Lonchura striata: one gene and its partner. The protein of the gene in region 1 purifies or fractionates together with the protein of each later gene. This does not show direct contact. Links are inferred from orthologs where the notes say so. Each region holds a gene or a part of one and is shown on either strand. Other genes may lie near its edges. The genes, in order: FAM98A and NUFIP2.

Region 1 (10,738 bases):
CCTTTTACGACTAGAAGGGGTGAGATACTGTATTGTCACACAGAAAGAATATGAAACACACTCAAAGAAGAATGAATGAATATGTCAAAAACAGAGAGAAAGGAAAGTAACAGATGCTGAGCTAAAAGGCAGCAACCTTTGGCCACTGAGTAAATACAAAGCTTAGCTCACGAAAGCATTATGAGTTAATATATTAGATACTCAGGAATATGGGTTATTACACCAATTTGATAATTTAATCTGTAGATTGTCATGACTAGTTGACCAAAATTAACTTTTTTTCCTGAAAGCTACAGTTTGCTTCCTCTACCAAAAACAGAAGCATTGAAACAAAAATATTTTATGATCTAGTAAAAACCCCACTAGTATTAATGTTTCCCTAAATCCATCTAAGAACTTTAAAAAAATAATATGCTTGAAAAATTAACAGAAAAATCTAATTTCAGAAGACTGATCACCACTATAATTTCAACTTCTACTGGCTGTTCATTCAGCAAATTTGAGGTGGAAAATACCCAAAATCTGGCAGCGTGAAGACAACACTCCATGGTACAATACACAGGCCAGCCCTAATCTCTGTGGCATGCAAGAACACAAATTAAGTGCATGTTTGTGCTGGAGTTATGACTACTTACTGTTGGTTGCTTGCACATTCTCCTCTAGTTTACAGAAGAGCCGTAACTCCGATACCAACCAAGCGCAGAGTTTGGTGAATTCAGGGGAACTGGCTCCATGGGAGACTGCCTGAGCCAGTGCTCCGTCAACTAACAGTGGACCTTTGTAACTGAGAAATAAAACAAAAGCACGGTTTATTAATGTTTGCTGTGACCAATGTCCTTTGACAGATTTATTTTATGCTGTATACATATTTAGAAATACAATCACAAGACATCTGAAGTGCTGATGTCATGGAATGGTGATTCCTGGACTGAACTGTATCAAGAACCACATGGAAAACATCAGAGTAAACTCAGAATTTGTGTGCACATTAACTTACCATCACAAAAACTGTCACAAAATTGCATTGTCAAAAGTTTCCTCCACAATATTACCATGTATAGTGGCAACTTCACTGCTGCCACCTCCTGAACATGTTACAGACAACAGACCTATCCAGGGCAACTGCAGTCTCAAAGAATCCTTCCTGAGCTCTACATACTGCTTTACAGTATGTTAAATAATTACTGCTGAACAAGTGCATCTTTACTGTCATTTCCTATCACATATGAAAGGGCTGCCTTACAAAACAAAGCCTTTGATAGAAATATTACAAAAGTGATCTGCATAACAATATCATCTCTTGAAAAACCAACCTCCCTAAATATACACAAGAAAAATTAATGGAATTGGTTCTTTGCATAAGCAAAATAAGCCAAAAATCAGACCTACCGAAAGAAAGCATGTGTTTACAGATCAGATCTTAGAAAACTGAGTTTTCAGAACATCTGTGTACTGACCATCTCTCAGGGGGAGAATGAAGAGTAGAGACAAGGCTGCCTTATTAACCAGGTAGAAGCACAAGTCAGAGTTTACTTCAGTATTTTAGAAAAAACACGTACAATATAATTTTGATATACTGCCCCCAAAAGACAAAGACATCCAAGAGTGCTCATAACTAAACGAAATCTCTCTTGGGAACTTCTGGGTAAAGTCATCCACTACCTCACAACAATCCAACAAGTCCAGGCAACTCTTGGCAAACCTCGGCAATAAAAGAACATCTCAAATTGAAATGAAATTCTCCTCACTCTGCTCCTGTGCTTAATACGACATACAAAGGATTTGGCCTTCACTGTAGTGGCCTGTTACTTCAGCCAAGTAAAATAAAGAAGCCACGCTCAAAAATAACTTTTACCTCACAGAGCAGCTTGATTGGTGACACAGTTAATCTACTGGCAGCTGGACAGAAGCTGTAATCTCATGTATTACAACCCTACTGCATGACCACAGCAGGCTGGACACTTCAAGAAGCTAATCAGAGCAAGTTTCAGTCCCATCCCATCTCTACATGTGTAGGTCTAGGAACATCTGGGACTCAAAATAGAAGCAGCCAGTTACAGGTCAAAGTAGCAAGGAAGCAATGGAAAGCCTTTTGCTTTGGCAGGATTGGGATTTAAGTCCCTGCTCAGATCTTCTAGAGGCACCTTTTCTAGAAAGTTTTTTTAACAGAGGTAATGTCTTGAGTGTGTAATTTCTTATAATTATGACTTCAGCTACACATCAATCTGGCCAATAATCCAACTTGCAGATTCCTAATTGCAAGCAGCTTTTTCCTTCTGTTGCTGCCAATGACATGTGTTCCAGAGCTATGCTCTCTTTTGGTAACTTCGTGCTATCCCATCTGTTTGCTCTTTCAACAGTTCAACAAGCTGATGTACAAGACAAGAGGCCACCATCTGAACACCTCGAGCACAACTAGAAAAAGAAACAGCTCTCTAACATGTACTGATATAAGAAAAAAAAATCAAGTGATATATTAGGAATATCTTCAGTATCTGATGAGAAAAAATAAGATGAACCATGAAGACCATGGAGCTACTGCCAAAACATAAAGCCTCAAACACCCGTCTTTCCAGACACCAAAAATCAGAAGTCCTTTAGACACGTGCAATAGTTTTCCCAGTTGTTCCCAATATTGCTGGGGTCTTATGTCTTTCATGCTCAAAATTTTCTTTTTTTTACTGTTGTCAATTTTGCTTCATATAATTTATTTGTTCATCTACTTTCACTGTTCGCTTTACGCATTTACGTCAAAAATCAACAACACTTTCTGTCTATAACTGCACAGATCAGAAGCACAAATCACCTTCAAGCCACTAGTGTCCTTTTAAACACAAAAAAATAAGCCAATCACAGTATTTTCATTGTGAAAGAGATGCCTTTTCACATTTCAGTCAGAGAAATACCTGCTAAAACAGAAATCTATTTGTCAAGCATTGCAACTATCACCACTAATGTAACCTGAAAATACAATCTTTGTTGGAGCATAATGACTCTAGTCACAAAGTGATTTATGGGAATGGGGCCAATGTGAGTAAATACAGCTGTTTGCATGGAACCGGCAGTAGAGTGAAATTGTAGCTGCCTGTCTTCTGAACTCTTAGCAGGTTACAGACTTGGGAGCTTACAGCAGGACATGTTCTCCACGCTCTTCCTTTCATGCTTTTCTTTTTTTATGCAGCCTTTCCTGACTCTGACAAAGTAACAGGTTTACACAGCAGAAGTTTCCTGTACTATAGTACCCTTTAAAATATGTTAAGAAGAAAAACACTTGCTTATTTGCAATGCTTTTTACTCTTTCTCCGCCCTCCCCGCCAAAAAATACTAAGCCTGAAGGCTTTTTTATTGTCTAACGTATCTCTTTATCCCACCCCACCCTCAGCTAGGGCCGCTGTGCAGAACAGAGCAGCAACAGACCAGATGGCATCCAAGAATCGAGGGGATCAGCTCGCACGGAGAAGCGAGAGACTCGCCAAGGCCATGCAGCTACAAGCCTGCGCGTCTGGCTTGGGGCATCAGCAGCAGCCCGGCCCTGAGGCCGGCTGTGACCAAAAGGACCATTCCATGCACTGCCCCGAGCCGCGGCCCTCCGGAGCGGCAGCGGCCCCGCCCGTGCGGGGCGGAAAGCGTCGCCGTGTCCCTGCCGGGGCCGCCCCGCGCCCCCAGCCTCGGACACGTACCCTAGGTCCTCCAGCGACTCCAGCACATCGTTCTCCAGGAACTCGAACTCCATCCTGCGGCGGGGCACGACAGCTGGACCTGCGCGACAGCGGGACTCAGCGCTACCAGTTCTCGCACTCCCACCGCCCGCCGTTCCCCCTTCTCCAGCCCATCCCGGCCTCGTGGTGGAGACTCAAGTCTCACCCCCTGCCCCGCGGCGAGGGAGAGCTCCCGGCGCCACGGCCCCTGTCCCGGGCCGCCCCAGCCCGCTGTCCCGCCCGGCCGCACGCACCACGCTCGCAGCTGCGCCGCCAACTGCCGGGCTGGCATCTCAGGGCGGGGAGAGCCGCGCCGAAGGCCCCCGGCCTCCCTCTTCATCCGGCTGCTCTAGGGCCGCCAGCCCCGCTGCCTGATCGGCGCCGCCCCCGTCCGCGGCGGTGTCCGCCTATCCGCCGAGCGGAACACCATTGCTAAACTGGGACGCGGATGCGAGGCCGGATAACAGGCCGTTCTTGCGGGAAAGGAGCCCGGGACGAGCCGAGGATCTCACTTTTGTGTTCAGGCGCCGGTAGGGCAGACCCGGAAGCGCAGCCCGCGCAGGAATGTGCTGCGGCGAGCGGCGTCGCGGCAACGGGCGGGGGCAGGGGGATAGGACGGGGCGGCAGAAGGGTCAAATCGTGCCAGGGAACGAGAGTCCGTCCCCCCCTTTCAGGACCCCGAGCTACGGCCGGGACCACAAATCCCGGCATGCCTTGCGCACGACAGGGCGGGAGGCGGCTGGCGCCGAATAAAATTAATAAAATTCATAAAATTAATAAATCGATGCCGGGCACGCAGCAATCCCACAGAAAGCACGTCAGTGCTGGAAGGGAGGCACGGTGAGAGGTTATGTTGGGATGGCTACACCACGCTGGGAAAAGCCAAAACCATTCGTGCCAAAAATTATGCCAGTCTGTCACCAGTAGCGAGCTGGTGCTGCAGGACCGACTCCTGTTCTTCATGAAACTGCCCTTGGCAGGCACGGTGAAGAAAAGCTGCAGTCAAAATATGAAGGATCTTGTAGCCTCAAGATAGGTAGGAAGATAAAGAATAGGCATTGTAGTCACCAGTTATATTACTAAAGACATGTCAATTTACACATTTGTAGGAAAATTGCCTCCTAAAGACTAAAATCTTAATGTCAGATGAATAATACAGGCATTCTGCTTTGTGTATTTGCTTTTAGTTGTATAGTGGTTAGTATAGTGTGGCCGCAGCCCACTCTGATTTTTTAAAAATAAAAGAGATAAAGGCTTCTGGCAAGCTGCCTTATCACTGCTGAGCTCTGAGAATTAACTGATTTTCCCTTTGTCCATTCATTTTTGATCCAAAGTATCTCAGGTGTTGTGCTTGGGAGCCTTGGCAGGGTGGGTAGCCTAAACTGGAGATCTGGGCAATTAGGATTTTCCTCACTAATTCAACACTGCTCCTGAAAGCTATGACCTTTTGCTTGTTTGGTCGACTTGGCGGGTTCTGTTTGGTTTTTGTTTTGTTGTTTTGCTTTTGTTTTTTTTTTATTTTTATGTAATGGTTGGATTCACCTTGCTTGCACAGGTGGAAGTGTACAAAGCTGGGTAGTATGTCCACAGAGTGTGGACTCTGCTCTGCTGCTTGTTGTCATGATAATGTTTACCCCTTATTTCTGAACCTTCTTTTTTCTTGCCCTAAATATAGGGTTTAAAAGCATTCATAGGAGCAAGCAGTACATGAAGTAATTAATTTTGTCACATTGACACTGTTCCTGTGTCCACTCCTGAATCTGCACATGTTGAGATACGAGGATTTTGTGCTAATTTCAGGAGGACATTTACTGTCATCTTACATTTACTGCTCAGATGAGCATTGGCACAGAAGGGTCATATTCATCTTGGCACCCAGCTGATGACATCTGCCTTCTGAAACAAATAAAAGTATTTCTCTCAGGTTCAGTTGTGCCAACACTGCAGGGTAGGGACAGTCTGGTAGGCATCTCCTCCAGTCTGTATCACTCAGTTCCATGACTGCTTTAACATCCCTTCTGTGCTGTGAGGACCAGCAGTTTCTTGAAAAACAGAAGGATCTTGTGGCTGGGGAGAAGAACAGTTGGAGGTGTGATGCTAGCTTGGAGCAGGCAGCTACAATTTTCTCCTGGGGACGGGGATGAGAGTTTTGTTTTGTCATTGTCTCTTATCAGTCATGACTTTTTCTTTTCCTACCAGCCTAGGGTTTTCACCACACAAATTTTGGAGGCATGGGAGGTGTGAATGGCCACTGTGCAGCATCCTGACCCCCTAGAAGAAATTAATTTTGCAATTGGACAGTTTTTGAGTACTTCTTGAACAAAATAATATTGTCCTGAGAAGTTTGCTGTTGCACAATGAGATCCAGAGCTCTGCAGACAGGTTACTTCTGAAAGCAGCAGCCACTCTGGCTATTGGCTCAGGGAAGAGCTGTAACTGGGGTAGATTTCCCTAAGCTACACAAGGCTCTGCAAACTTGTCAACCTGCAGAACTGAGCTCAACTCTCCTTGGGTTTGTTCTCTCCCTGGGGTAGGCTTGTTACATCTACTTCCCTCCCCACCCTGACTCACAGAGAGCTGCAGGACTGGGAATCCAATGTCCCTCAGGCAGCTTGACCGCAATGCCCTGGCTGGAGCCATCCATGGCTCCCTGCACTATGTCACCACTGGAAAAGCCATGTAGTACTGATTTCTCCTATGGGAAGAAGAAAACCAGCCCAGACTGCAGCTGTCCTCTTCATGGAACCCCTCTAAACCCCTCCTGGCCCCTTTAGCCCTGGAGGGATGGGGATGATGTGGTGGATATTGGTCAGGTGCTTCCAGGCTGCTACATACAGGTTAAGGAAAAGGCAGTTCATGCATGCCCTGAAGCTCTGCAACCCAAATATATTTATTCTGAGAGGTATGAGGTGCTCCACTGCTTGGATGCCAGTTGTCATTAAACAAAGACAATTGGTTTCCTGTGTACTTGCCTTTTGTGATTGATTTGTTTTGATGTTTGAGATGCTGTGAGCTCTGACTGAAGATAAACTACTTCCTCCTGTGCATATTCTCTCACAAGTAATAAAGTAAGGCTGTAGCCCCTCCTTCAGCTTTGCACCAAAAGAACCTGTCACCAGTGTAGAGGAGGCTTGTTGAATTTGCCCAGGTCACTGAAGACACACCCTGATGGTTCAAACCTCACTTCCACAGGAAAGCTAGCCAAAACCAACAACTTTAAGGCAGGGTTTATTTCATTACAGACAATTTATTTTCACAGGGTTTACACCACCCCACCTCAGGTTGGCTCTGTGGCTGTCAAAAATCCCATGACAGAGACATTAAATATGAAATCTGTACTTACAGAATAGCATGAAACACACATGAGTGTTACCAGATGCAGAGTGGTAAAGTGCTGCTAAGCACTTTTGTATCAAAACCGATTTTTTTACTGATTTCTGCAGGATGCTGCAGTTTCTTCAGTGTCTGGATGCAACAGAATCCAGCCACTGTGCTGAAGCTAAAAGCCCACTGTCTGTCAGACATACAGCTGGATTTGCCAGGTATCAAGGAATGTCAGTTCTGGCTCAGAGCATGCTGGATACCATGAAAGATCAAGAGCAGGACAATGACAAATGGCACTTCCCCTACTACTCACCCAGCTTTTGACTACTTTCAGCTCTCTGGACTTTCTTCAGTCCTTACTGCTGTGCCATGAGAGGATCAGAGGATCTGACCAGAGGATCTGCCTGAGAGGATCAAAGACCAGAGGGTACCAGGGCCAGCTAACAGGGGAACTGCCCAAGGCTGGATATTGAGTGGATGTGCAGTCTGTGGGTGCCAGCAAACTAACTGGGGCAGTGAGCCTTGAGGTCTTGCCATGATCAGGTATCTGCAGCTGGATGGAACAAGGATCCAGGGCTGACTACTGGATAAACGAGCATCTGTCCTGTTACTAAAAGGCCCATGCTGTATGTCTTCTCTGTATGTTCCACTGCACACCTTCATTCCAGAGAGGGGAAGAGGATTATGGCATTGGTCCTGTTTCCATTTGCAGAAGTGCTGTTTTCTAGTTTTATATGTGTTTGTCTGTGTGGCTGGCCATGTGCACACACATCAGCGTGTTTGTGTGCTTACTGGGAGTACACACACAGCCTTCATGCTGCCTAGACCTGGCGAGACAAAGATGCAGGCAGCTTCACTTCTGTTGTGCTACCAGGTTTATCAACTCCAACCAACACTTCTACTGCAGGCAGGAGGTAATTTCTGCTAAAGAACATGGATAAAATGCAGCCTTTGTGTAGCAAATAATTTTTTCACAGACCATGTTCCCGAATATTTTCTGGAGCAGCTGGATCTCTGCTGCTGTGATGCTTTAATTATGATTAAAGTATTGGTAATCCCTTCTAGGCAGGCTGTTTGAATCCACCTCTGCATTACACCTCCGTTGGCCAAAAGATGTCAGTGCTATGGTAATCAGTTTACCAGTCAGCCTCTGCAGCAGCAATGAAGGAGAAAGTGGATCTATAACACAACAGATGACAATTCAATACTTAGGTTTATACTGATGGGTATGACTTGACTGTGTGAAGTCTGTGTGGCAAAAATAAGAATTTCTAAAATGTTCTTCCCTGAGTAGCTGCAACAAGCTAGTTTGTGGGGTTTTAGTCATATATAAAGCAGGATGAGTCTACACACTGTAAAGCCATCTCTCACACATTATTTTTGAGAATAATCAACAGTTATAATAAATCTTTGGGGAAAAAAAATAAGCATGGACTGTCTTTATTCTTTTACATGCCTGGCAGCTGCTGTCAGGATACTTTTGTTGGTGAAACACAACACCACTTCCCTTGAGATGAAATACTTGTGACAAGAGTTAACAAGGAACTTTTGTGAAAACATGACAAAGAAGTTTGCATGAATAATTTAACAGGGTAGCTGAGTTCAAAAATAGCTGCAATATTCCAAATTAAGTATAGAGACAGGAACTTTAAAAAGCCTTTTCCTCTATTTTAAGCAGCTTTTCCAAGTGATACAAAAAACCTATGAATCAAGAAGCTTCAGAATCCAGTGCCACTATTAACATCTTGTAGAAGCCTGCACTTTTAAAATCCTCTTTAGAGAATAATTTTTAAACAAACACTCAGCAATCAGTATAATTTCAAAAAGTTTAATGTTTGTTTTTAAAATAACTCTATTTAATCGAGAAAGGAATCCACACATACAGTCTTCTTGGATGGTGGCAAAAGAACTTAAATTAGAGCCATACCCATGACCAGCAGGTTTAACCAGTAAGAATATAGAGAAAGTCTCACTGATTAGTTGTTGTGGCGCGGCATGATCCTCTGCTACCATATGTTGTAGCGCGGTATGCGCTCCTCGCCGCGGCACTCCGAGCCGTGCCGTGCTGGGCGGTGAGGGAAGAGAACGGGCAGCCGCTTTCCCCTGCAAGCTCTGCAGTTCAGTTCGTGGCGCGCGGGGACAGACAAAGGCGACACGGGACTTGGGGGGTGAACAGGATGGTTTTATTCACTGAGCCCCAAGACCCCCTCGGGGGCGGGAGCAGAGGTTTTATACAGAACTCAGGAGGAGGGGTGTAGGAACAGTAACCACTAAGGGAATAGCAGGGGAGGAGTTTAGGGCAGAACTAACATGACAGGGAAGGTTCCAGGGAAAGGGGCAGGGAAAGGGAGGATTGACCACTTGGAGATGAGGGGGGGGTTAGGGGAGAGCTAGGGAAGACTGACACTGGGGAGAGGAGGAGATTGGGGGGTTGGGGGGGGAAACAGATATTAAACAAATATTAAATGAAAGAAAAACACACCACCGCAATTAGTCACATTAATAATAAGAAAAAGAATGTGCCCTCCAAAGAGAGGAGCAAAGGATACCATTCCAGTCATACAAATCTGCACTCACCTTCTCAGAACAGGTTTCCAGAAGTCTGGAAATTCAAGATAACATTTTCTTATCTCCTGTGCAAAGTAACAAGAGACAAAGAGGCAAAGACTTCTTACAGGAAAATATGTTCATCCTAAAATCCCACTTGCTGGAGCATCTGGTGGATTTGACTGTTATAATCCCAAATCTTAGACCCTTTTAATTGTTTCTCTCCCCTCTGCATCAAAAACCTTCAGTAACAGCTAGTCTGGAAGGAATTTGTCAAGCTGTTAGGCTGGAACAGTTAATGGACAATGACTCAAACAATCAGCCACTTGGGTGCTTTTGCTGGATGTGCATCTCACAGCCCAGGTGCAGAGGGGGCTACAGCTGGGGTTTGAGCCAGATAAGGGAGAAGGCTGATACAAAGACCCTTTGGAAGTGGAATAGCTGGGGAGGTATGGGGCATTCACACATAGGCCTGAAGGTGTTCATCCCTCAGGGCATAAAATATGCTGCCATGTCTTAGAAGGTGTCATAAACCACAAAGACCTCCAAAGTGCCCTCAAACTAATTTGAAGCCTTTCACCTATCCTTTCTCTTTTCTTTATACATTTTCTTATGTGTTATTTTTATGCATCTGTATTGTTATATTTCTACAGATAATAATCAAACCTATATACCTCCTATCCTTTGCAACCAAATTGTTCTGAAATAAACCTGGCATATTTATTTATTTATTTATTTTTATAAACACTGGTCATTCAGTGTCATTTTACTCTAATCCACTCCCCAAGGGATGGATTATTAACAAGAACCTCAGTTACCTCACCTTCAAGGATGGGTCATAACACAAGCATAATACAAAATGAAAACAGCTGTCAAAGAACACACTGTGAATGTAGACAGTTCACTAGGAGAAGGGATTTGTAAGAAGAATTATAACTAAAAGCTGTGTATTTGATGCCTTAGTCTAGGATGCGAAACATATAAAGCATAAGGTTTCATCTTACAAACCTGAAATAAATGTTCAACCTGTAAGCCTTTCTTGTATTCTGAACCACAAATTCAATTCCTGGAGAAGTAATTGCACTTACTATCTTGGATGATCTCTCTTCTGTAAACATTGTAGCAGTTTGAGGCAAATTGTCCGTGCCTGTATCTTGTATCAAATGCCA
Region 2 (10,110 bases), on another chromosome or scaffold:
CTTGTGCTCCAAAGAATAGTAATCCTAACAAAATCTCTATTTTAGATGTCAAATATTTACTTTTAGCTGAATTATGCCCATTCATTGGAAAACTAATAATACTTTGCTCTTCACAATGTAGCTTATCAGTGAATCCTGATATATATTTTATGCAAAACATTAAAAGGTTGTTGCTTATCTTTTAATTTACCTTTTTTCCCCCTTCATGTTCCTGCATTCCTATGTTTTGAGATAAGGTGAACAAAAGTTCTCCAGCTGCTATCTCTAAGCTATGCATTCTGCAATACCTTCACTGTGTTCTTTCTGATTCACTCCCTCTGAGGTGAATGGTCCCAGTCTTTAAATTTCCTTCAGACAAGGGCTCTTCCCAATCCCTAATCTTGTAGTCAACCATCATTACCCTGTGTCACATAATGAAGCAGCAGTCACAGTAATAACTCAAACAATAACTGCTCCAGATCTGGTGTTCTGTCAGTGCTGAGCATTGTTAAATTGGAGATCCTGGGTGCAAACACAAGCAGAGGAGTCCCCATATACCAAATGCAGACATAGCCAACCCACATTTAAAAACTATTTTTTTTTAATTTCCTGTTTCAAAATAACTGTTTGGTGTCCAAATGGAATGAGAATGAAATGTGACTAGCAGCCTTGTGACTGTTGTGTTGTATAACAAGATAAAAAGTGCTTGGGATTTGTGGATTGAGCTTTTTTTCATTTGTCTTCCAGAGGTCAAAGTCCACTGCAAGCAGTGACCGATACAATTCCCTGTGTAAGTCAGGCTGGACTGCCTGTGCCTCAGGTTCTAACAGCAGGGGAGTTTGTGCAAGAGCACCTTGGTAGGTATTTGTCTGGATTTCTCTGTGGTCCCTGTGATGATCCTAGGAAGCAGGAGGAGATCCAGAATTGTCTGAGAGCCAGGATTCTCTGAAATCCCAGAGAAGTAATGATAAGAGTTGTGGCTGAGGCCAGCCTGCTAGCCTGCTTCCCATTCTGCTTCTTGTATGTGTCCAAGAAGCTGTCTCCAGTTTATACTGTTGCACTCTAGTAAACAATTTTGCATGCAGATATGGGCAGCAGATGTTACTCATGCCTGTGTGAACACTTCAGTGTTTTTACAACAGGGATGATCCTTGGATTGAGTCTTGTTAAACAATGGATGAACCCACCAGAAGTCCCACTGGTTACAGCCATTCTGTTACAGCTTGCTCAAAACACTTTGAAGGATGGTCACGCCATCCTTCTTTGGCCACTCAAGGGGATTGACTCACAAATACGAGCAAAATAAAATTAGATGGCTTAAGTGGCTGCAACCCCAGCTGTGTCCCCGCTGCCCAATTCCCAGAAGGTCATCCCTGCAGCCAGGCTGGCTGTGGAAGGCAACTCCTGAGCTGCTGTAGTGACAGCCCATTCTTCAGGGTGTTAAAATTTGTCTGGCTCCTCTGTGAAACAGTTTAGGAAGCTTAACCAGAATAAAAATGTGCACTTTTCCATCTGAAGAATTACTTTTTAGTTTAATTTCTCAAATGGGCTCTGAGAAGCAGCAGCGTTGCTGTGAGGGCAGGGCAGGGAGAGATGACCTTCCCTTTTGGGAGCAGCCATTACGTCAGTTTTGCTGCCTCACAAAACTATACCCTATGGTTATTTTTGGTGCTGGATTGCCTTAATTTTCTGGAGAGTGAATGAAGGATTAGCATAGTGTGCTTATGACATTTGGAAACTAAGCTTTTAGGAAAAAAATCATAATTCAGCATGTGCTGAGGTGGAAATGCTTAAATTGCTAAGGAAGGGAAGGATGAGTAAAATGTGAATTTTTTACAATTTTTACAATTCAGCTAGGAGGTTAAATCCTTTTATAATTTTTTGGGTTTTGCTGCTTTTTAAGACCTCTAACCCAATGCCTACTATCCAGCTGCCTCTAGAGAGAGAAGTCTTTAAAGAGACCAGCTTTGTACCTATAAATAATGTACACAGCAGAGTACAAAAATGGAGTCAAGGAGAAGCTCCTCCTTACCTGAATGTAACTGCAGCAGCTCTGTGAGAATAGCTGTGGTCAGGCTGTGAGCAGCTCTCCTACCCTGTCATCCATCTTGACTAAACTGCTTCTGAGAACTAATTCTGAGATTCCAACACTTGAATATCAACTGGTAAATCCCAACTGCCTTGTACTGAAACACATTATTTGCCAGCAGCCAAACGTGGCAAGGTTTTAAACAGTGTGGTTGTAATCCTGCTTGGAACTAAAGGTCTGCTGGAGTGCTTTAAGTTGGATGTGTTGGAATATGGAGAATTTTGCAAGTCTGAACCCCTGCTATAAATGAAAACACTGTGGCAAAAAATGTAAATAAATGCCACACATACTTTGTGTAAGAGCCCATCCCAATATCTATAAATATGGTAATTTTGGTGTTTCCCAATTCTGAGTTTTAAACAGGAGACAGACACATGAAATACTACAAAGCAAGCATTTTATTTTTTTCATGGATTAATTTTATAATTTCAGTTCTAATTTACCTGAAAATAATTAATGGGAACTAAATGTAGTTTTTAAAAGAGGTTTGCCTTTGAAAGGAAATAAATTGTTCTTGAAAAAATAACTTCAATAGCTTCTCAGTTTAACTGCATTTTAATATGAACACAAAATTTATCCCGGGTCAGACTCTGCAGGAAAACTTTCTCATGATTCTTGTAGCAGTTGATTCATTCCTTGCTGCCTTAATTTTCCAGCTTTAAATGGCAGGTTCTCTGCAAAGCCATCCACTTCAAAGCTTCATAAAACAGAGCTTTGAATAAATTACTGAGTTAGAAATTATACTGGCTGTGCCCAGCTTTGTGCCTGGATGTGGGAATACTTGGCACTGGGTGTGGAATTCCAAGGAAAATTGCCTCTTTGCTGGCTTGCCAAAGAGCAGTAAGAAGGAAAACTGCTGCAAATGAGCAGACACGGAAATCTCCAGCTTCCCTTTCCAGAGAACACATCCTGAAGAACTGTTGAATATTAATACACATTACAACTGGTGCAACAATGGGCAAACACTGGGATTAACAGAAACTACTGCTTCTGGAGGGGATGTGTCCCAGCATGGCCACAGGGCAACACTGCCTGCTGGAACTGCTCTTACCTTTAAAATGCATCCTTGTGGAATCAGTGGAAGTGGGGCAGGCCCACTGTGTGTGGACACACCATGTTGGGGTGCCAGGTGATGAACCCCAGGCTGTATTATTTTGGATTATTTTTCTCTCTTCTGCAAGCTTTAGATAATATAATACTGATAACATGATACTTCTAAGCAGTGACATAGTAGCTTTGTCTTTCACAAAGAGACAGCCCACCTTCCTCTGTATTCAGATTTCTGGTCTGTGTGTGTGGAGATGATTTGTCCATAATTGTTTGCTTTCCTCAGAGTCTTTTGAAGTTTAAATCTTCAAGCCAGCTCCCTATATTAAAAATAAATTCTTCCAAGCCACCAATAAAATGTCATCTGTGATTAAAGCCTGACTCCTCATTTTAAGACTTGTCTCTTAAGCACTCTGAGGTCACTGAATGAGTCAGCGTTTGAAAGGACCAGGACCGTTATTGTTTGAGTAAAGCCCAAAGTTCATCATTGCTTGCTTAAATAGTTTCATCAGTTTTAAATGGCTTTGCATTGTGCTGAAAGAAATGTAAACTGCAGGAATGATTTGGCAGAGAGCTTGTGATATTTCAGGCACCTCAAATCTTGAAAAAACCCTCTGTATTAATGTTGAAGTTGGTATTTCTGGTAAGGAAAAGCTTTACCTCCTATGTAGTAAAGAGGAGCGTGAAGTGGGAAGTTCTGTTTGAGGCATAAACTTTCAACTGTGTTCTCTTAAAATAAGGCTTGGGAACTGTAAAATCTCCAGACGAGGGCTCTTGTACAGTGCCAAAGTCTGACAGGGCTTTTCTAGACACATGAACTTTATTAATTTTGCTCATTAGAATAGTGAAAAAATAGAACAGAGCATTAAGCTGCAAGGAAAAGACTTGAGAAGCGAGTCCATACTATTTTCAGGACTATTTGTGGAGCCCATTTATATTACACACATTAATTGTGACAGTCTTTAATTACATGAACACATTTTATTTTGTCACTTTTCCTCCCTGTTTGCTGCAGTGCACACTATTGGGACTATTTGGGGGCCATTAATCACACCAGAGTAGCAAATAACTTGGAGCAGGACTCCGCCTCTGTCTCCAGCCCGTGTCAGTTGTGGGTCTCTCCATTCCCTCTGCCCTTTTCCTACATTCCTAATTAACTCCTGTCTCAGTTCCTCACTGATCCATACAACCCAAACCCCTTTGTCTCAGTGGTATCTGGAGAATTGGGCCTTGGTGTTGAGGAGGAATCCGGGAACAGCATTTGAATGTCTTGCTCTCCCTGCAGTGGAGGCTGGCTGGAGCAGAGGTGGGAGTTCAGGTCATTTAGCTGTCATCACCCCCTGCCGAACATGCTCAAGTGAGGATAATCAGAGATTGAAATGGTATGAAATCTGTTGCAAATTCTGTCAAGTTTCAAGAGTTCTCCTCCTTACACTCTCGGGCTTCCCCATCAACCTTTGATTTTTGTTAAGCATCAGTTAAATCTCCGGTGCTTCCCTCGGAGCTGGACAGGCGCATTTGTTGAGCCCACCTTTCTCGGGCTGGCCGGGTGCTGGGCACGGCCGGTGGTGGGTCCGTGCGGGGAGCGGCGGGTCCGCCCGCTTGGCTGCGGGTGGAGCCCTGGAGCCGGGTGAGCTCCGGCTGCCGCGGGAGCGCTGCAGCTCGGCCCGGCAGCGATTCGGGGCGCTGCTGCTGCCGGGCTCCGCGCTTCCCGCGGCTGCTGCTGGGAGCCCGGCTGCTCACGGTGTTCACATCCCTGCCCAGCTCCCCTCCGCTGGGGCTGTTCCAGCCCTCTCCGCCTGCCCCGGGTGGGGGGTTCACCCGCTTCATGACGGCAAAACGCGGCTTGGCGGCATCCCGGGCCGCCGTCCTGCCGGTGACCCTGCGGTGAAACCCCCCCGGGGCCGCACGCCGCTCCCCTCCGCTCCAACGGCGAGGACCGGGGACGGCGGCGACCCCGCCGCGGCCGCTCACTCTGGCTCCGCCGCGCTAGCACGGGGAGGGGGCGAAGCGCGCCCGCCCCCGGCAGCCTCACCTGCCGCCGGCCCGGGGAGGGGGCGGCCGGGCGGGCCCGCGCTGGCCGGGCCGGCTCTCCCCCGGCCGCGGTGCGGCGGGGCGGGGCGGGGGGCGGGCGCGGCGGCGCCGCTCGCTGATTGCAGGGCGGGCGCTGCCAGTCCGCCGCCTCCCCCGCGCCAGCCGCGTCCCCGCGCCGGAGCCGCACGGCCCAGCAGCGAGCGCCCAGCCCGGCCCGGCCCCGCCAGCCGCCCCCCATGGAGGAGCAGCCCCACCACCACCATCACCACCACCACTATTACTACTACGGGCACCACCACCACCACCCGCAGAGCGCCTACCTGCCGCCGCCCGACGGCCGAGCCCAGCCTAAGCCGCCGCTCCGCCACGAGCACAAGCACGGCGGCCCGCAGCACACGGAGGCGCCGAAGCGGAGACCAGGTTGGAGCGGGCAGCGGGACGGGGCCCGTGACCTTCGCGGGGCGGCGGCGGGGGCCCCCTCTCCTCCTCCTCCTCCGCCGCCGCCTCCCCCGGCCCGGCTCGAAGCTTCTCCGCCGCGCTGGGGCCGCTTCCTGTCCGCCATGTTGGGGCTGCGGAGCCGCGGGCCCGCCGGCACCGCCGCCCGCCGGCACGTGGGGCCGGGCCGCGCCGCCGCCGCCGGCCGGGCCCGGGGCCGCGGGGGCGGCCGGGCGATGGGGGAGCGCCGGGATCGATCCGTCAGAGCCGGCGGCGCGGCCCGGCCCGGCGCCGCCGGCGGGAGGCGGCGCGGCCCTGCCCGGCCCGGGCGCTCGGCCGCCTCCTCCCCGCCGGGCCGGGGCTGCGGCCCCCGGGCCGTGCCGGGCCGCCGCAGAGGCGGTGTCCGGTTAGCGGCGCGGGGGGAGCCGGTCCCTGGCAGGGCCGAGCCCCCGCCGCGTTCCTGCGGGCTCCCCGGCTCCAGCAGTCCCTCTGGGGGGGTTTGTGCGGGGTCAAGGCGAGTGCGTGGCCACCAGCCGGCCGGAGTGCCGCGTACAATTTTTTTTTTTTTTATTTCCCTTGAATTTTTCTTTTACATAACGAGGCGGGAGGTGGGAGGGGGCCTGGTAGCAGCGGAGCGGGGTCAGCAGTGCCCCATGTGCAGCCTGGGCAGGCAGGGAGGGACCTGATGGGGCACACGCCAAAATAAGTTACCGAGCAAAAATAAGTTGAGAAGTCATTTCACTGTTTGCAGCGTGCCCAGGGTTTTAATATGTGCCTAGGCTGGCACCCCTCCCTTTCCAGCTCTGAAACGGTTTGTGAGCTTGCCAGATCCTCTTCACCTGTTCTTCTTACCATCCTGGATTTTTTCCTCTCCCCTGAATTTTGGTTGCTGCACCTCCGTGTCCAGGCCAAGGCCAGCTGTGCCAAATGTTGATTTGGAGAAAACTCAGGCAGCTGAGCTGTGAATGCTTGAGAATTGGAACTAGAAACTGCTGACACACTGACTTAGTGAAATGGATTTTGTTCTTCATTTTATTCTTTCACTCCTCATCTGCAGTGGTCTTATGACCACTCTTTATTGTTTTGTTTCATTAACAAGTGGTGTCAGAAGTCTTGAGTCATACAAGGTCAGCTGTAACACTGTTCTTGAGAGGGCTTCCTCTTCATGCTATTCTGAAATACTAATTTTTTAGAGGATCCCGCCGTTCTAGTTCTCTCTGGGGCGAAGTATTTGCAGTTAATTTTCTTAACAACATATTTGAAAGTTATAGTGGAAGTTGTGGTGGTTACAGATACTTGCATGTAGTAAAATCCTTTTTGATCCCCCTCGGCAAACTCAGTTGTGGAATTTCTGTAAAGATTCCTACAAGGATTCTTGTGTTCCCGACTTGCACAGAACTTGAGCTGTTACATCTGCCAGACATCTGAGGCTCCAGGATGTGAGGGTAACAACGATTTTTAGTTACAGCAGTTAATTTCAACAACATCAGCAAACAACAAAAACATTCTTCTTCCAAGCTGGAGTTTTGCCCGCTCCAGTTGTTGAGGGACTCCCTCTCTGTGCTGACTCGGTGCCACCGTGGCTGCAGATGGAGCCTTAGGTGGGTCAGTGGTTGTGGGGGATGTGGATGTGAGGCTTTCCAGCCTCGGAAGGAGGAATGAGTCAGAGGAGCGGCGGGTGCAGGAGGAATCCCTCTGCAGCTGGAGTGTATTTGTCGAGCAGGGCACGGTGTGCTCTCCCTGTGTCCCACTGGGGCTCCAGGGCTTCCCTTGGGGTTTTAGCCAGGGTCCTCGAAAGCAGCAGGCCTCTGGCCAGAGATGCTTGAAAAGGAGAAAGCAAAGAGGAAGTTGGGGTGGTTCAGTGTGGACTGTCCTGGGCTTCCAGCTCTGCTTGAATTGCACTCTCCAGAACCATGAGGCCTGGAAGTGAACTTCAGAAGGGAAGAGTAAAGCTCAGTCTGCAGCACAATCTCATGGCTTTGTGAGTTGGAGCCCTCAGCAGGTGCTATATTTCTTGGGTCTCAGGCTCATACCAGCTCTCCTGGGGACTCTGAAATACAAGTTTTTTCAGTGGCCAAGAGATCCATTGGTGGTGGCAGCAGAAGGGCACTTGCAGGGATGCATTTCTTACTTCTGTCACTTTTCAGTGCCAAGGAACATGTGTAGGGAGGTGCTGGTCGCTATCTTAAAATGCAGGGAGGAGATGTGGCCACATTTTCTTTCCTCCATCTTCCAGCTGAACTTGCACGGGTCCTTTTGCAAATACTGTGCTTGTTTTTTTTTTCCCATCCCTTGACTGAGATGGCATTTGGGAGGAGGGTGGGAAGGAGGACTGCTGGTGTCGTGGGCCCAGGAGGTGATGGAGATGGTAGGAGTTGTCCCTTGTTCACAGTGTGTATCCTGAACCTCCACAGATCTTGTCAGAAAGGCAGTGGATCCCGCTGTCTTGAAGCATCCTGGGAATTAATTTTTTCCTCTCTCTGACCTGGAAATAGTAGCTGATGAAATAACTCTCCAGCTTGCCAGTGATTTTCAGTACAGTATATTTTTCTGGCATAGTATCTGTATTTTCTTTTGCTTTGTTATGTTATCTGTATGTCACTCAGTTATGCGAGAATCAGTCATGGCTGGTCCTTCTTTTTTAACCCTTCTTGCTGTGGGTTCCAGCAAATAAATTTATGCAGCTTTACCTCAGAGACTAGATATTTTCCTATTTTAAAATGTCTGCGTGAGGAAACTGGATATGTTTGGGGCTGACTACAGCTTTCTGCAATGACAAGTCTAACATTTCACATTCTAATTCTTGCCTTTTGCTGTTTTTGGCTTCCCTCTAGGCTACGGAGAGCTAAATGGTAACGCAGGAGAACGAGAAGTGTCACTAAAGGGCCTGTGCTCTGATGAAGCCACCGCCCCAGGATCCAGGGTACCCAATGGCAGCCAGCAGCTTGTAGATTCTAATGTCACCCCAAAGCAGACTGTGAAGGCCAGTGCTTTGGGGAAAGCTGGAATCAAAACCAAGAACTTCATTCAGAAAAATAGCATGGACAAAAAGAATGAAAAGTCCTATGAAAACAAACACAGAGAAAACCAGACCTCGGACAAGCCAGAGGGAGTGTCTATTCCAAACGGCGTGGTAACCAATAATTCCAGCTACATCACAAATGGCTACGTAGGCAAAGGGGCCGATAACGATGGTAGTGGCTCCGAGAGTGGATATACTACACCTAAAAAACGGAAAGGCAGGCGCAACAGTGCCAAGGGTTGTGAGAACTTGAATCTAGTACAGGACAAAATAATGCAGCAGGAGGTCAGCGCACCAGCCTTGAAACAGGAACTTGAGAGTTTCAAGCCTGATTATAGTGAACAAAAGGGGAACCGAATTGAAAATACGAAGCCTGTTTGGAAATATGAGGCTGGGGCTGGTGGAGCAGGCCGAGGAAAGCCTGGGCTCGGGGATGTACCGAGGAAAAACTCTGATGCCAAACCTGGGATTAGCAGCAAGAAGTTTGATGACCGGCCCAAAGGGAAGCATGCATCGTCGGCTACATCTAAAGAGGATTCATGGACCTTATTTAAACCACCCCCAGTTTTTCCAGTGGACAATAGCAGTGCTAAAATTGTTCCCAAAATTAGTTATGCAAGTAAAGTTAAAGAAAACCTCAACAAAGCAGCTCAGACCCCATCCACGTCATCCACATCATCCTCATCGTCTTCATCATCTGCTGGGGAAACTCAGGCCCAAACATCAAGTCGGCTGTCCCAAGTCCCCATGTCTGCTATGAAATCTGTCACTTCTGCCAGCTTCTCGAACGGGCCGATCCTCGCGGGGACCGATGGAAGTGTGTATTCCCCAGGGGCCCAGCCACTGCTCTCCACTGCTGCTAGTACTGTCCCATCGACCTCCTCCTCCGAGTCAGTACCCCAGGACATGAGTACAGCTTCGACAGCCCTCGAACAAAAGAAATCTGGCCTTTTTATCTACCCTTCAAATATGCAAACTGTGCTCCTGGGGACAGCGCAAGTCGATTTCCCTTCCCAGACGAATCAGCAGAACCTGGGGGATATCTTCCAGAATCAGTGGGGCTTGTCTTTCATAAACGAGCCCAGTGCTGGACCTGAAACCGTTGTGGGGAAATCTGCGGATAATCAGTTAATGGAAGTGACATTTCAAGGGGAATATCCTGCCACTTTGGTTTCACAGTGTGCTGAAATCATTCCCTCAGGAACTGAACAACCTGTGTTTCCTAAGGCTTATGAGCTGGATAAACGGACTAGCCCTCAAATTCTTAGTGCTGTTCTTAAGCCTGGGACTGCTGTTGAGGGCGGTGTCTTAGCTTTGGAGTCGCATCACACAGGTGACCTACAAAAGGCAGACACCGGTAGCCAAGGTGCTTTAGTGTTTCTTTCAAAAGACTATGAAGTAGAGAATCCTCTGGCCTCTCCTACGAACAATTTGCTAGCCTCCGCCAAAGAACAGAGGTACCAGAGAGGCCTAGAAAGGAAAGATAGCTGGGGTTCTTTTGACC

The links.
Region 2: the proteins of FAM98A (region 1) and NUFIP2 purify together in Homo sapiens (co-immunoprecipitation; 3 studies listed by BioGRID and IntAct, with this or other methods). This does not show direct contact. The link is inferred for Lonchura striata from reciprocal best matches to the Homo sapiens genes FAM98A and NUFIP2.

Annotation. Positions count from the first base shown.
Region 1 is NC_134605.1:35,870,075-35,880,812, forward strand, and holds the start of FAM98A (protein FAM98A), read right to left. Parts: upstream 4,031-10,738; 5' UTR 3,953-4,030; intron 3,760-3,952; 5' UTR 3,734-3,759; coding exon 3,681-3,733; intron 785-3,680; coding exon 636-784; intron 1-635. UniProt on the Homo sapiens protein: Positively stimulates PRMT1-induced protein arginine methylation. Involved in skeletal homeostasis. Positively regulates lysosome peripheral distribution and ruffled border formation in osteoclasts.
Region 2 is NC_134622.1:7,664,417-7,674,526, reverse strand, and holds the start of NUFIP2 (FMR1-interacting protein NUFIP2), read left to right. Parts: upstream 1-5,308; 5' UTR 5,309-5,385; coding exon 5,386-5,569; intron 5,570-8,418; coding exon 8,419-10,110. UniProt on the Homo sapiens protein: Binds RNA.